2 linked regions of the Tamandua tetradactyla genome follow. The main gene of each other region encodes a partner of the protein of the gene in region 2 in a complex. Links are inferred from orthologs where the notes say so. Each region holds a gene or a part of one and is shown on either strand. Other genes may lie near its edges.

Region 1 (7,681 bases), on a different chromosome or scaffold from region 2:
GGTTTAGATCTAATTGAATTACTGGGGAGTCTCCAGTATCAGAACAGTGCCTAGCACAGGAGGAGGGGGCAGAAGGGAGGAGGGAGGGGGGAAGGAGAAGAGAGGAAGACAGGGAGGAGGAGGGAGGAAGGCCCTCTAGTACCAGACCTGGCCAGCCACCAGGATCACCACCTGGAGCACTTAGTAAAATACTGGGTCCCAGGCCACCTGGTGTCACTAAATCAAAAGGGGGCAGTCCTGTATATGTTTAAAAGCCTCCAAGGTGTTTCCCACAGGCCAAGGGGAAAAGGGCGCACAATCCGCTCGCATCATGGCCCACCTGTAGTTACCACTGCGCCTGTTCCAGCCCCTGCGCCCCCCACCCACCTCCCTCCACCCCCAGTCTGTCTCTGAGCAGCAGCACACAGGGAATGGGGAGCAGTGGTGACTGCTTCCACACAGGCATTTCCAAGCCAGGCCTCCGGCTGTGGGCTCCCAGGCCGGCAGACACTTTCCCCTGCTGCTTAATCTTAGTGGCCAGAGAAATCAAATTCAAACCTCTGCCGAGCCCCCAGAGCCCCCTGCGAAGGACTAATTCAAACGCAGCACACTGCAGTGTGGACAAGAGTGCTGGGGACCCCCGGGCCTTGGAGTCTGGAGTGTCCAGTGGGGTAACGTCTTTTGGGGGGTATCACTGGTCTGCCCTTCAAAGTTCAAATGCACCCTACCCTTTAACTCAGAAATAACACATCCAAAGTCACCCTTGGGAGATGCCTGTGACCCGTGTATAAAAGGACTATGCAATCACTGCACCACGGATCTGAACAGCGAAAGACTAGAAACAGCCCAAGATGTCCATTGCTATGGGTCACACTGTCATACTGTGACCACGGGCAGGAAAGCTTACTGACCCCAAACAAATAACACAGCTCCATAATACTGAAAAGGTGCTGCCTCCAAAAGGATTATTACTTGAAAAAAGGAAGCCTATGTGGTAGGTTCTCACTTGTGTAAAAAGAAAAAAAGAAAAAAGAAAAAAACATGGTACACACATTATACAAGAACAGAACATTTCTGGAAAATCAAAGAAATTAGCAGTGAGTTTGTCTCCAGAGCATGGGATGGGGCTGAGAAAGAGAGATGCTTATTTATGAGTTAATTAATTTTTTCCCCCAGTGTATATTTCAATTTGTCAATAAGAACCTAGGAAACCACCACAATGAGATAGCCCATCACAGCCACTAGGATGGCTATTATTTAAAACCCAGAAAAGAGCAAGTGTTGGTGAGGATACAGAGAAACGGGGAGCCTCGTCCATTGCTGCTGGGAATGCTGAACAGTGTCGCCACTGGGCAAAGAGTTTGGCAGTTGCTCAAAAAGTTAATGTACAATTATTATCTACCTATATGCCAGAGAACTTCAGGCATATACCTAAAAGAACTGGAAACAGGGACTCAGATACTTGCACACAAACGTTCACAGCAGCATTATTCACACCAAAAGGTGGACACAACTCCAGTGCCCATCAACAGGCGAGCGGAGAGAGAAAATGTGGTGCACCCACCCAGTGGACTCATTACTCAGCTGTGAAAAGGAGTGGTGTCCCGATGGGGCCTTGAAGCATTATGCAAAGTGAAATAAGTCAGACACAGACGGTCAACTATGGTTTGATTTCACCTATGTAAAATATCTGTAATAAGCAAATTCATGGAGACAGGAAGTAGATTTGAGGTCACCAGGGGCTGGAGGAAGGGGGGAAATAGGAAGTTATTGCTTACTAGGTACAGAGCTTCTGTTCAGGGTGATGAAAAACTTTTGGTAATGGATGGCGGTGTCGGTAGCAAAAGGCTGCAAATGCAATTAACGCCACGGAATGTTATTCTTAAAAACTGTTAGAATGGAAAAATTTCTGCTACATACATGCTACCACAATACATTTTTCAAACAATAACTAAATAATTTGTTTTAAAAGTATACAAAGTAAGACAAGCATCTGCAACTAATAATTGCTTAAGTCCCCTTACGCCTTTTGTTAAAAACAGTCTTGGAAACTTCAGGAACCAAGCAGGTCAACGGGGGTGGGAAGCGAAGGCACCCCAGCAGGGCTGAGACTTGATTTGAAAGCCCAAACCCATTCAACGACTTGCCCTGTCCATGGAGGTTAAAGCAAAGCCTCTCACTGCTGTGGTTTGCAGTGAGACGAAGCAAGTGTGCGGCTACCAAGCCACGAGCTTCCAGAAGCCAGCGGGGGACGCTCAGGCCAGCTCGCCCGAGGACGGCAGCCCCCCTGAGACCCCAAGAGCCCCCCAGCCCCTGATGCTGCAGACGGGAACTCAGCCCTGTCCCCCAGGAGAAGCGCCGGCACCTCATTTCCAGGTGCCCACTCTGGCCTCCGCTAGGTGATTCGACCAGGTCTTCCCAGGATGGCCTCCCCCCCCACACCCCCACCCCCATCCCATCTGCCCCAAAGCCGCTCCCTGTGGCCTCGGGTTTCGCAGCGCCCACGGCGGGCGGTACTCACGGCAGCCCTCGATCCTGTCGGCCGTCTTGCTCCAGGCCACCTGCCGGGTCTCCATGACCACCTGCACCGTCCTCCGCTCAGGCGTGTACTTGCGGAAGCTGAACACGGACATCACCGTCCCCAGCTCCAGGGCTCTCTTGATCTGGCTCTTCTCATATTCCGGAAGGTTGTCCACGGTCGCCATTGTCGGGCACTCCGGGGTGGGGTTGGGGGGGAACACTGAGGCTGCAAGAGGGAGAGAAGAGGGTGAACTGACTGTAGTTGGCTGGGGGGAAATGCAGTCAACAGGGCATGGGTTTCAGGAGCCAAAATCCTGTCTCATGCTCATCCAAGTGCACTTTGGGAGAAGGTTCCAGTGGCAGGGAACCGGCGGCCACTCGGAGAGCCCAACTGGGACACAAGGGTTGAAGTGGGAGTCAACGTGCTGAGAGGGATCCCTCCTGCACCAACCGCTACCTGGGATTTGAATACCCAAAGCACCCTACCTGGCCATAGCCAGCTCTCTTCCCCTCGCAGCTTTTCTCCTGGAGAATATTTGAATAGCCAAAGCAGCTTGGACCAGCCCCCACTCACCAACCTTCAACCCCCTCACCCCACAACAACCTGCCCCACCCTGCCCAGAGATTTCCGACCATCCCTCTCTCCCTGAGCAAAGCCGGGGACTGTACTGGGTTGAATAGTGTCCTCCAAAAACTCACATCCACCCGGAAGCTGTGAACATGACCTTGTTCGGGAACAGGGTCTCTGCAGATGGGATCAAGCTAGGAAGAGGTCCCATTGCCTCAGGGTGGGCCCTAAACCCAATATGGATGATGTCCTTCTAAGAGGGACTTTTTGGACACAGAGAATGACAAGCTGGGATGGAAGTGACGCAACTACCGGCCAAGAAGGCCAAGGATGGCTGCCACCCATGGAGGCTGGAAGGGGCCAGGGAGGGCCCTGCCAATGCTTGAGTTCAGTCTACCAGCCTCCAGAACTGTGCGAGAATAGTTTTCGGTCATTTTAAGCCATCCAATTTGTACACATTGTTATGGCAGCCCCAGGAAACTAAGACAGAAACAGGAAAAAAAAATCAGAAGCAATTCCTTTCCCTGCGTAGAAATGGAGAAAAGGGACAGAAATGCAAAAATGCCAGCTGTGTCGTGTTCAAATCCTGGTTTAGGTTCTTGCTGACCACGTGGCCTTGCAAAGGCTGCTTAACTCTCCAAACCTCCCTCTGGTCCTTTCTAGAACAGCGTGACACCAGCAACCGGAAGGCTGAAAAGCTACGCCACCAGCACAGCCTGGCATGGCACAATCCCTGTGCTCTCGACCACTGCTGAGTCTCGTGAACAGTCGTTGTTTATCGGACTCGGATCCAATATCGGACTCGTTGCTTACAGGTGCTCGGATCCAAAGTCTTGGAGTCATCATTCTTTCAACTCTCTCATTCCATATCCAATCTGTCAGCCAAACCAGAATCCTCCATGATGATGGGGGAAAAAAGAAGAAAAAAAAAAACAGAATCCTCTTCTCCAATCTGTCAGCCAAACAAGTATTCTCTTCTCACCCTTTCACTGGGCCTTCCTGGAGTCTTCCCCTGGATTATCCCCAATGCCTGCTCATGAATCTCCCTGCTTCTGCCCTAGCACCCAAAGTCAATTCTCAGACCAGGAGCCAGAAGGATCTTCTCGGCATGAGTTGAATCATGCTACTCTACTCAAAACTCTGCAGCAGCTCCCCATTTCATGGGGAGTCAAATCCAAACCCCTCACCCGGACCCTCCAAGGCTGTTCCCTGCCCCTCACTTCCCATCCCTCTTTGCCTTGCCTGCTCCAGTGATGTTGATCTGCTTTGTTGCCCCTGATCACCCCAAACTCAATGCTGCTACAGAACCTTTGCACAGGCCTAGAAAGCTCTCCTTCCAGAAATCCACTCAACTTGCTCCCTCACTTCTTTTTGGATCTCTGTTCAAATGCACCTCAGCAGCGAGACCTTTCCTGACCACCCCCTTACAAAGCAGCCACCCCTATCCAGCTGGCATCACTCAGTTTATTTCTTCATTTTCTATCTCCTCTACTAGACTGTGCACATTCTCGGCAGAAAAGACAGGGTCTCTGCTACCTGTTCGTCCACTGCTGAGGCCTTGGCACTTAAATTGGAGATTGGTAATATATATATATTCCTATTGAATGAATGAACCATTCAAAGCCTGGTAAAGTAGGTACTATTAATATGTCTATTTTAAAGACGAAGAAACTGAGGCTCAGAGAAGCTAGGTCACTTGCTTAGAGTCACACAGGTGGTAAGTACCAAAGTTGGGATTCAACACCAGCTTTATCAAAAATGGGAATGCAACTACCCCACACTTTGCTATCAGTGCCAAGGGAGGTGGGGCATAAGGAAGGAACAGCACAGGGCAGTTAACTGGAAAGATGGCACCAACCAACAAGAAGCTGAGAGCCTAGGCAGGCTGAATGAGGGGCATCCAAGAAGTGCAAAGAGAACCCTATCCACAGCAACAAAGAGCTCACCATAGAGGGCTTGCGTGCACCCGGGCTGCTGCCAGCACCGCGAGAGCACTTTCACACAACACCACAAAGTAGACACAGACTACGTCTATCTGCAGTTTCAAAAGAGTTCAGAGAGGTTGAGTAACTAGCTCAAGGTCACACAGCTTCTAAGCAGTGGAACTAGGATGCGAGCCTAGGCCATGGGATCCTGAGTTCTGACAATAAGTCACTTCCCTTTACCTCCTAGACACAACGCCTGCTCTTCAGGAGGAGATGACCACTGCCCCGCAGGCTGCAGCCCCTAGGAGAAGCACTCGAGCCCTTTGGGCATCAATTCTGTCCCCCTAAAATGGGAGGAAAACAGTATCTACCACTTAAAGTTCTCCTTTGGATTAAATGAGGCAGCACGTGTCACATCCTTGAAACAACTATACAAAGTCAGCCAGCGGTTAGATGTAGCTCTACCATGACCACCAAATGCTCTGTGTATCTTTTTCATCCCTCCCCTCCCCTCCCCTCCCCAGAGAAACCCATCCGGCCAGCGCACAGTTGTTACTCTAAGGCCACTGGGAGGCGAGAGGCCTCTCCAGAGATCAGGAAGTGAAAGGCAGGTGTTCAGCCAGAGCTGCCTGGGCTTCCACTCTGGCTCCGCCTCTGCACAGCATCCTGCCAAATGGCTCCAAATTCGGACCTCAGTTTTCTCATGTGTCAAATGGGAATCACTCCTAAAACCTACAATGTAGGTACAGCCCCAAGCATTCAGCAGGACCTCGGTCAAGATAACCAGCCAGTTGGCCAACTCCTTAGTCCTAGGGACTGGGGTGCAAAGGGAGTCCAGTCCTTGCCCTTTGCCCCCTCCTCCCACTACTCCATGCCCACAGCCAAAGCACTTCCGCAGAGCTGGCAGCTGGGGAGATAATCATGAATTATACCTATGTGGAAACAGAACAGTGTAAAAAGGGACATGCAGCAGCAGATACATGCATGGGGGCTGAGGGAGCAGTGAAAAGAGGTCCCAAGCCCAGTCTGGAGTGGGACAGGGGAAAGCTTCTGGGGAAAGCAGACAACTGAATCCAACCTTTAAAAAGGGTGGACCTGCATAAGCAAAGGCCCAGAGGTAGGAATGCTAGGGTGTGCTGAGAACTTCCTGAGAATGAAAGCCAGAAATGGCCTTCCTGCCTATCACCTCTCACCCAAGGAAAAGGGATAAACGAGGCACCCGTGGCCTTGCTCCTCCTTGTAATGCTGCTGTTTATTGGGCCCTTCCCAGGTGCCAAGCAGTTGCCGTACCTGCTCCCTTTCACTTGTCTCAATACAAAATACAATTCTTGAGAGGTGAAATTACCTGACCAAGGTAACGAAAATCAGGGGAGTACAGGATCAGAACCCCAGTCTGAATGCTGAACCCCCACTCTTTCAGCACCTGCCTTCTGGAATTCAGAATCCCTTGGCAGAACCTGCCCGGATAATAAATAAATTGGCAGACCCTGTTCAAGACAGAGGTTAAGTGACGTATCCAAGGTCACACAGCTGAACCTGCTTCCAGCGCCTCAGCTCTTCCTGAACTAACGTCATTACACTGACTACCTACCCCTGACTACCCCACCGGCCAGGACAAGGTACCAGCATCCTACCATTCTCTCTGGCTCTGGAAGGGCCTTAGACTTAACCTTCCCTGGGATTTCCCATCCTTCCAGCTCCGAAGCCCACCAAGTCTCTGACATTGCATCTCATCAGGAACCAGAAACAGACACTTGTGGCCATAAGATCCTCCAAGCCAGGACCCCAAACCCGGCCAGCTCCTGGCCCAGGGCTCCCGAGCAGGACACTTCAGTAGCTAAGGCAAGGACGGTCTCCAGGCCTCTGCCCCATGGGAGGGCACTGGCCAACACAGGCCATTTCCACTCTGCTTCTGCTTTTAAAAGAAATGAAATCCCTTTTTGTTCCTGTTTCTCATCCCCCATGGGTAACCTTGTAAAATGACTTACAGTATAACTACAAGCACAGTTGAGATTTAATATGAGGTTTTGCCATTCTGCTTTTCATGTCCTTCTCTTTGCAAAAAAGAGACCAGAACCAGGAAACTGGGGCGTTTTCTTCTTTTCGATGCTCTTTGTACATGTTTGGAGGAGGGAGAAGAATTTCATCCCAAATCCCAGAAGACAACTGTTAAAATTCATTACAGCCACATCCCTAAGAGGTAACTCCATTCCTACAGCTCTAGGGATGTTATTTCTGCTTCTTACATTCTCAGGTCCTGTGTGCAGCATCAGAGGATAAAGGTCTTCATGAGAGGAACGAGGCAGTGTCAGCCACTCTAGGCGGGAGTGTAAAATAGTTCAACTCTTTTTGAGGACAACCTGTGAGCTCAAAGAACATGTGAAAGCACATGCTTTGATCCAGTAACTCACCCTGTGCAAAAAGCAACATGCATAAGATAAACCTGGAAACATCATTTGTAACAGGAAAAGAGAAAGAAAGAAAAAAGGAAACAGCTTAACTGCCCATCAGTGGGGGGTCTCTTAAATAAATCATGGAATACACACATAAAAGAATGCTGGTAGCTACTGGGAAAAAATGAGGAAGATTGACAGACACTGAACTGAAAAGATATTCTTGCAAGACTAAATGAAAAAATAAGTTGCAAACCAATAATTCCATTTTTTTAATGGCTGTCTTTATAAAACTT
Region 2 (6,942 bases):
GGGAAATACGTAAACAAGTCATTACGGAGGCTATGGGGGCAGGCGGTCAGCAATAGCACTGAAAAGAAGGAAGACACCCAAGCTCAGAGGGTAATTAGCCAGACCGAGGCACGTCCCACGGGGCTCAGCTACTTAGCTTTTAAACAAGCCTTGGAGAGGAAACCCGGATGCTGGGCCAAAGGGGGAAAATGGCCACTTTCAGTTCAACAGTCTCAAGGCTAAGGTTCTACAATTTAGGTGGGATTCCAAAAAAAGCGCTGGTCCGGAGGTGCAAAGGGCAGGCCACATCTGCGGAGGAAACAGTCACCTTAATTACCATGTCTAGAGAAAGTGCGATTTCATTGCAGCCTCCAAACTACCCGCCCAAAGAAGGAAACTAGAGAAGTGTTTTCAATTTGAAAGAGCCTGGAAAGGAGAGAGAGGGTGAGGGAGACCAACTCTTCTCCACCCGCTCTCAACTTTGGGCCAGAGGGCGCTGCTTTCCTGTGCCAAAGGATATTACAAAAAAAACAAATAAAAAAAAACACAACTCATCAAGCCAATCCCCGCGTCAGACCTGTAGCCCGTTAGTCAACGGTCAAACGTCTCACTTTGGTTTCCGGGCGCTGCAGCCTCCCCCAAACTCCTTAAAACACTCACAGGGAAGGGCCACAGGCAGCCCCCCACCCCCCCGCCGGCCCTCCCTACACGTCCCCACGCGCTGCGCACCGGGAAAAGGGACGCGTGAACGCCACCGAAGGGGCAGCCGGGGATGGGCAACTCCGAAGGAAGGATTGCGCACTCGGGACAGAAGCTCTAACCGAAGGGAAGAGAGTGCCCTGCTTTTGTTCGCGAAACATCCGTCAGGGCCAATTCTGGGTCAGACCCACGGTCCAAGAGGCAGATGGACTGCTGGCAAGTGTTATCCCCTAAAGCCTGGCCCCCTTCTCCCACGACGTCTCTTTTCTGCAGTTTAGAAAGCGTCCCAACCACCACCCATGAGCAGCAGCAGGAAAATAAGTAAGTGGGAATCCTACATAGCTTGGGATCCAAGGTAACTTTTTCTCCCTGAATCCCAGCCCCTCATCCCCAATTTTTAAGAAAATTTAAAGGACGTGTTTAAGAATCCCCGTTTTAATAGGGGTGGGTGGGATGCTAATAACGTGGCTGCGGTGTACCCGTGTGGAGTGAAATGGAACCAGATGCCGATGGTACGTCTGGAATATGGGAGGAAAAAGTGTTGAGGAAGAGAGACATCACAGACGTGTTCTTAAAATGGGTCTTTTTGTAGCTTCTGGGCCCCAAAAGGACAGAATGGCCTCACCCCCTCTCCTCAAAAAAGGTGTCTGGCTGCTTTCATAGGGCGTGTGTTGTATGAACCCCATCTACCACGTCAGTAAATTCCTCGGGCAATGAAAGGATTCTCCCCCTTTCTCCCCACCCCAAACATAAAGAATGTGGGGAGCGGCGAACAGAGAGCAACAGGCCTAGGTGCCGAGTGAGCCCACCCGACAAAATCCTCATCCCTTCCCCCACCTCTAAGAACCGGACTGGAAGGGTATGTTCCCCTCCCCCATAACCCCATCCCGGGGCTTAACATCAACCCTTTGGGCGCCCTCGCCCTTCTCCAAACTTCCGACCCTGTCTGGGATGGACTGTGCAGAAGACACCCCTCCCTGGGACGGAGAATTCCTCCCTCGCCCTCCGCTCAAGCAGATATCCAGTCATTTGGTGACGCCACCTCCTTAAAACCTATTCAGGGGTAGGCTAGGCCGACCCCCTCTGCCTTCCCCCTTCATACCCCTACCCATCCACCCACCCCCGACCCCAGACTTTCCGGGAGAGGGAAGAAGACATAAATATCCCGGATTGTTAGCTGTCTGTCCGGAGCTACCTGCTGAATTGGGATGAGTCACCACGAAGGGACCCAAAAGGGAGGAGTGAAATGCAACACACACACACAAACACACACAACACGCGCACACACACGCACACACACACCACCACACCACCTCTCTCCCCAGGCGGAGAAGCCCCCAGGGCCGCCGCCGCCTTTGCCCCCATCTCAGTCCCTCTCTGAACTGACCGCTCCGGAGCGCGAGTTGGCAGAAAAGTTGGGCGGCGGGACTAGGGTTGGGGAGGGGGCGCAGAAGGCGACGCTGGTAGATGCGGGGTGGGTGGGGGGCGTAGGGCCGACAAAAGAGGGGTGCAGTAGGCTGGGAGTGGACAGGGAGCCGGAAGGTGGAGGAGGGCTGGGAGGGAGGCGCCGGCCCCGACTGGGCTGCAGCAGAGGAAGCGCGCGGCTGGGAGGCTCCGGCGCGGGGAGCCGCTCGGGACTTCCAGCCTGAGCGGGATCTGGCGGGCGCCGCGGCTCTTACCTCACCCGGCGCTGCGGTGCCGCCTCTGGAGAGTCCGCCGTGGCTTGTGTAGACTGGCGGCTGCCCGCGTCTCCCGCTCCGGCCCGCTGCCCTCGGGGCTCAGCTCGGGTCCCGGCTCCGCGCGGGGTTCGGCGCTTCCAGCCCGGGCGGGAACAATGGAGCCGAAGCTGGTGCCCCGGAGGCGGGGCGGCGGGGGGGAGGGCTCCTGTCCGCCGCCCAGGGTCTCCAGACTCTGTGCCCCGACTCTGCTGAACCCCGCGGCGGCGGCTCACGCTTCTGGCACACCCGGTTCCATCGTCCTGCGGGGGCCCCGGCCCAGCGGCGCGCCCGACTGCAGCACTGGTAACGGTGCGCCCAGCTGGGCGCCACTCGGACTGGAGAAAAGTCCTTGGGCTCGGCTTGGCTTTTCCAGCTGCGGGGAGCGCTGGTGGCTGGGGAAGGCGAGCGAGACGCAATGCGCTAAGCAGGGTCTCGGTCCTGTCCAGACGTGGCCGGCCCAGCTCCCGGCACTGCCGGGGTTCCTCGGCGTGCTGCGGGTGCGGCAGGACCAGGATTCCGGGGTCCCGCTCTCCGCCTCCTCCTGCCGAGGCCGACACACCAGTGCCCGCAGGAGCGCTCCGAGCGCTGTGCGCCGGCGAGGCGCGAGGACTCCCTCTCGCAATCCCACGGCCCGCTAGTCCCTCCTCCTCTTCCTCCCCCTTCAGCTGCCTGCTGGGCCTTGTAGTTCCTGAGCCGCGGCCCCCGAGACAGGGGGAGCGAGCCGCGCCGCCGGCTCTCTTCTGCTGGTTTCCTGCAGTCTGGGCTCGTTGGGCGCGCGTGCCCTTCCCTCTGAGTACCGTGAGCAGGGCGCCGGAATATCAGGCCGCTGGCAAGCTAACAGTTTGGAGGATGAGATGGGGAGAGAATGTAACCATAAGGTTGTTCGTGATAGCATAGGCTTTTTGAGTCTGACGGTTTAACTTGGAAAATGATTTTTCTTACTCTAAATCTCCGTTTTTCTATCTGTAAAAAGGGGCATAATAGTACATTCCACATAGAGTTCTGGATTAAAGGAGACGTAGGTTTACGGTCTGGAACGTAGTTAACAGACGTTTTTATTCGAGTATCTGAGGCTGGAACCCCTTCCTCAGATTCCGTGATCTCATTCAATCCAGCTACATTAATTCAAGTTTTGTGGTTCCCAGGGTACTGAACCCCATAAATTCTACAGCACTCTTCTTATCCTCCAGAAGTCTCTAGCATGTGGTGAATGTTTAGGAAGCTGAGTGAGTGGTGGGAGTTGTGGGGAGGTGTTGGTTTGAAAATGAATCACCGCAGCATTAGGTGGAACCCAGGGAGAATGACCTAAATGTCCTTTTCCCTGGGTCCTTCCATGGGGTGGTATATCTAGTGGTTTCCTAATCCAAAGGTACATGAGTTCTTTGGGGAGCATTTTGAAAATACAAATTCTTTGGCCCACTCACTCCTGTGGAAACAGGCTGTTCCAAGAAGGAGCCAGGAAATCTGTATATATATATTTAAGCTCCCTTATATTGTACCTGTAATGTGAGGGCAGGTTTGGGGCCACTGGTAGAGTGCAGTGCCACACTGAATAGGAAGGAGACTTCAATTCTGGTCCTTTGCTGATGAACTGTTTGATCTTAGACAAGTCATACATCTGAAAATGAGGATGGAATTAAGTAATGGATATCAGTACACCAAAAGTGTTACACAAACAGAAGTAACTAAGTTAATAGTAGGGTCTGTTTCCTCATCCCTACCCCACAAGGTCTTGGAAGTTCAAATACTGATGATTAGGTCCTCCAAACTTATTGAAAGGGTCTCTAAGCTCCTTTTTCATTTCACCATCAGTGAAAGAACAGACAATCCATAACTGTTTATGGACTGACTGAGGAGTAAATATTCAATAAAAATTTTTGAATGAATGAATAAATAGCAGGAACTCACATATTTGTGGAATAAATGAACATCAACTGTTTATAGGGTGTATAGGGTTATTTCTCCTGCAAGCTTGTCTGTCCACCCCTTTAACCTTCCAGCTCCTGGACAGGTTCCACTGATCCTTTCCTATCAGCTGCCCACCCATTAGGCCACCTGTGTTGCAAATAATGCTTATCCCAGAGATGTAAGAAGACCAGACTCACACCCCTCCTTATTAATCCCTGAAACTCCTAGTAATCCTCTGGTATATCCCACCTATTTGATACTTGATATAGCCTTTGTTAGTTGTCTTTTTTACCCTATGCTCTTTCCCTTTAGTTGACTCCTAAACTGTTCTAAGGCAAGGCTCCCTTCTACATATCTGGCCTAGCTCAATTCTCTGTCCTCAGGAGGTTTTTCGTGTATGTTTGTTGTTGATGGATGTGATGAGGGTAGCAAACCTGGGTCATCAGAGGACAAAATACAAAAATGGTTGGGAAGACAAGCCATGGAAGAATCTAGCATTTCATGTTCACACCCAATTACTGTTTTCCCACTTTATTCCCAAAGAAGAGTGGATCACCTTTCCTCTCTTTGCTTTTTTTAAAACAGAAAAACAGTTCATGTTTTATCCTGTTTTAAATCCAGCCTTTTTTTTTTTTTTTTTTTTTCATTTCTTTTGTTTTGGAACCATTTTGGAGTCCCAAGGAGGCAGCTGAAGAGCGTGTCCTTGTTTTAAACCAAAAAGAATGATCTAGCTGCCTCTTTGGTGTTGAGGGGCACAGGCGCTGCCAGTGAACAAATTCCTCTATGCTTCACCCGGTAACTAAAATGAAAGCAAGTGGACAACTCAATAGCTCTCTCTTCCTCAGTTCTTAAGGAAACATCCCACGAGAGCCAGAATGGAGAAGTCCTAAAACCCTGAGGACGAATGGGCCATCAGCAGACTGTGGCTCCTGAATAATTGAGAGCTGACTGCTTTCTTCATTCTAGACCGGCTCCCCACTCGCGCCGCTCCCCACCCCCACCCTTCCCCCAACTCTTTTTGAAATGTAGACCCTCAGCTCAGGACAAGTCTCAGGCCAATGGAGGGAGAGCATCCCCAGGGCAGCCCTGAGCCATTCCAGGCAGCAAGGGTCATATGGCAGCTCTGCCTGCTTCTGTCCTGCACTGAGGACTCCTGGCTCCTTGCCTCCCCACACAGAAATGTAATCTTCCCTTGGAGATAACAAAGAGCTGGGAGGGTCACGGAGGATTTGTAGGCCCCTTGCCCTGCCAGCAAGATGTCGGAGAGGGAGACAAAAGGCCTTCATGCTCTAGGACCTGATAACCAGTTGGGGGCCTGTAGCCTCCCGGATCTACAGGGGGAGGGGAACAGTGCTGAATGAAAAGAAGGGAAACGGAGCTCTCCCCAAAGCCCGGCCGGTCCTCTTTGTTTGGGAACAGTTGCAGAAAATCCCTTCCTTCTCCTTAGAGCCGCTTGTGTTCTCTGAGCTCCTCCACCGAGTAGGGAGCTTCTCTTTCCCCACAGTCCATTCGCCCCACTGCTCCCCTGCGCCATCTGAGTTTGTTTATTTCAGGGCTCAGCAGTCCCAACCAGGGATGAGGACTTCACTAGACCGGTTCATACTTCAGAGTTAACACCTCACTGAAACGGAAGAAGTTTGGGGGGATGGACTGGGCGAGGTTGGGCCTCAAGTCTGCTCCAGTCAGGCTTTGGGTGGGGGGTCCCTTAGCTGTGATAGGAACTGGCTGAAACCCAGCTCTGAGAGCTGGTTGCAGGAAGGGATGCAGCAGGAGTGAACTGTCGGGTTTTCCCCTGCAAAGTGGGCCGTTCACAGGTCCCTGGGAGCAGGTGGGCGGCAAAGCCTTTTGCCCCAGGCCCCTGGAGTCAGGGAGCAACAGTCAGTTACCATCTGGCGGCCATTTGGTAACCCCTGGCTGTTCTTAGCACAGCTTCAGCTTGTCAGGGAAGGGAGGGTCTTGTTTGGCTTGGTGTTTTTGTAAATAATACTTCACTCTCTCCTAACAACTGGGGGTGAGCAAGGGAACTAGCTGCAGTAGTGGCTGGACTTGCCTGGCCCTAGTGCAAGACCATCCACTAAGGTTGGGGAGCACTTTTGTGCTTCAGGCACTGAGCTGGACACGGTGTTTCTGAAAATGAAAGGGACAAGGGCATCCCAGTAGCTCTGGCTTGGGGTGGGGTGGGGTGGGGGACCTAACACTGCAGGCAGTGCTGCGCCAGCCCAGCTGCTTGTGCAAGGTGTTTTGGGAGGAGCAATCAAGAGGCTTAATTCCTTAGAATAAAGATGGCTAAAAGGAAGTGATTCTTGACTTTAAAGAGTGGCAAACAGCATGTGAAAATCCACAAACTCATCTTGGACACTTGTGGAAGGTAAGGCTGGAGGGTACATGCTGGGGTATGAAAGCTTCTGAGTTCTCTTCCTCTAAGAGGGAGAATTCAGTCTCTGGGATCAAACAGGTCTTCTGGGTGTCAGTCCTGATTTTGCCTCTTCGTACTGGCTGTGTGATCTTGGGCAAATTGTTTAATTCCTCTGTATTTCCTCAGTGGTGAAGTGAGAATAATGGCAGTCCCTGTTCTTCAGAGTTGTTGAAAAGATGCACTGAGATAATAATGCATTAATGCACTCGATAGAGTGTCTGG

Evidence for each region. Proteins that work in one complex are often made in the same cells at the same time.
Region 1: the proteins of FGFR1 (region 2) and PLCG2 are in contact, whole or in part, in a cryo-EM structure (PDB 8JQI), measured with the Homo sapiens proteins. The link is inferred for Tamandua tetradactyla from reciprocal best matches to the Homo sapiens genes FGFR1 and PLCG2. Residues at the interface, in NP_075598.2 of Homo sapiens: Lys504, Asn506, His541, Lys542, Lys598, Ser602, Tyr605, Gln606, Arg609, Glu612, Tyr613, Ser616, Lys617, Lys748, Asp755, Arg756, Val758, Ser762, Gln764, Glu765, Tyr766, Leu767, Asp768, Leu769; in NP_001412678.1 of Homo sapiens: Phe528, Arg540, Thr568, Phe569, Pro570, Asn571, Phe577, His585, Cys586, Arg587, Arg589, Ser590, Thr591, Met592, Gly595, Leu601, Thr602, Asn604, Leu622, Arg623, Cys624, Ala625, Glu626, Phe627, Glu738.

Annotation. Positions count from the first base shown.
Region 1 is NC_135342.1:76,421,743-76,429,423, reverse strand, and holds the start of PLCG2 (1-phosphatidylinositol 4,5-bisphosphate phosphodiesterase gamma-2), read right to left. Parts: upstream 3,023-7,681; 5' UTR 2,685-3,022; coding exon 2,501-2,684; intron 1-2,500. UniProt on the Homo sapiens protein: The production of the second messenger molecules diacylglycerol (DAG) and inositol 1,4,5-trisphosphate (IP3) is mediated by activated phosphatidylinositol-specific phospholipase C enzymes. It is a crucial enzyme in transmembrane signaling.
Region 2 is NC_135352.1:4,642,072-4,649,013, reverse strand, and holds the start of FGFR1 (fibroblast growth factor receptor 1), read right to left. Parts: upstream 3,001-6,942; 5' UTR 2,358-3,000; intron 727-2,357; exon of another isoform or gene 709-726; intron 1-708. UniProt on the Homo sapiens protein: Tyrosine-protein kinase that acts as a cell-surface receptor for fibroblast growth factors and plays an essential role in the regulation of embryonic development, cell proliferation, differentiation and migration.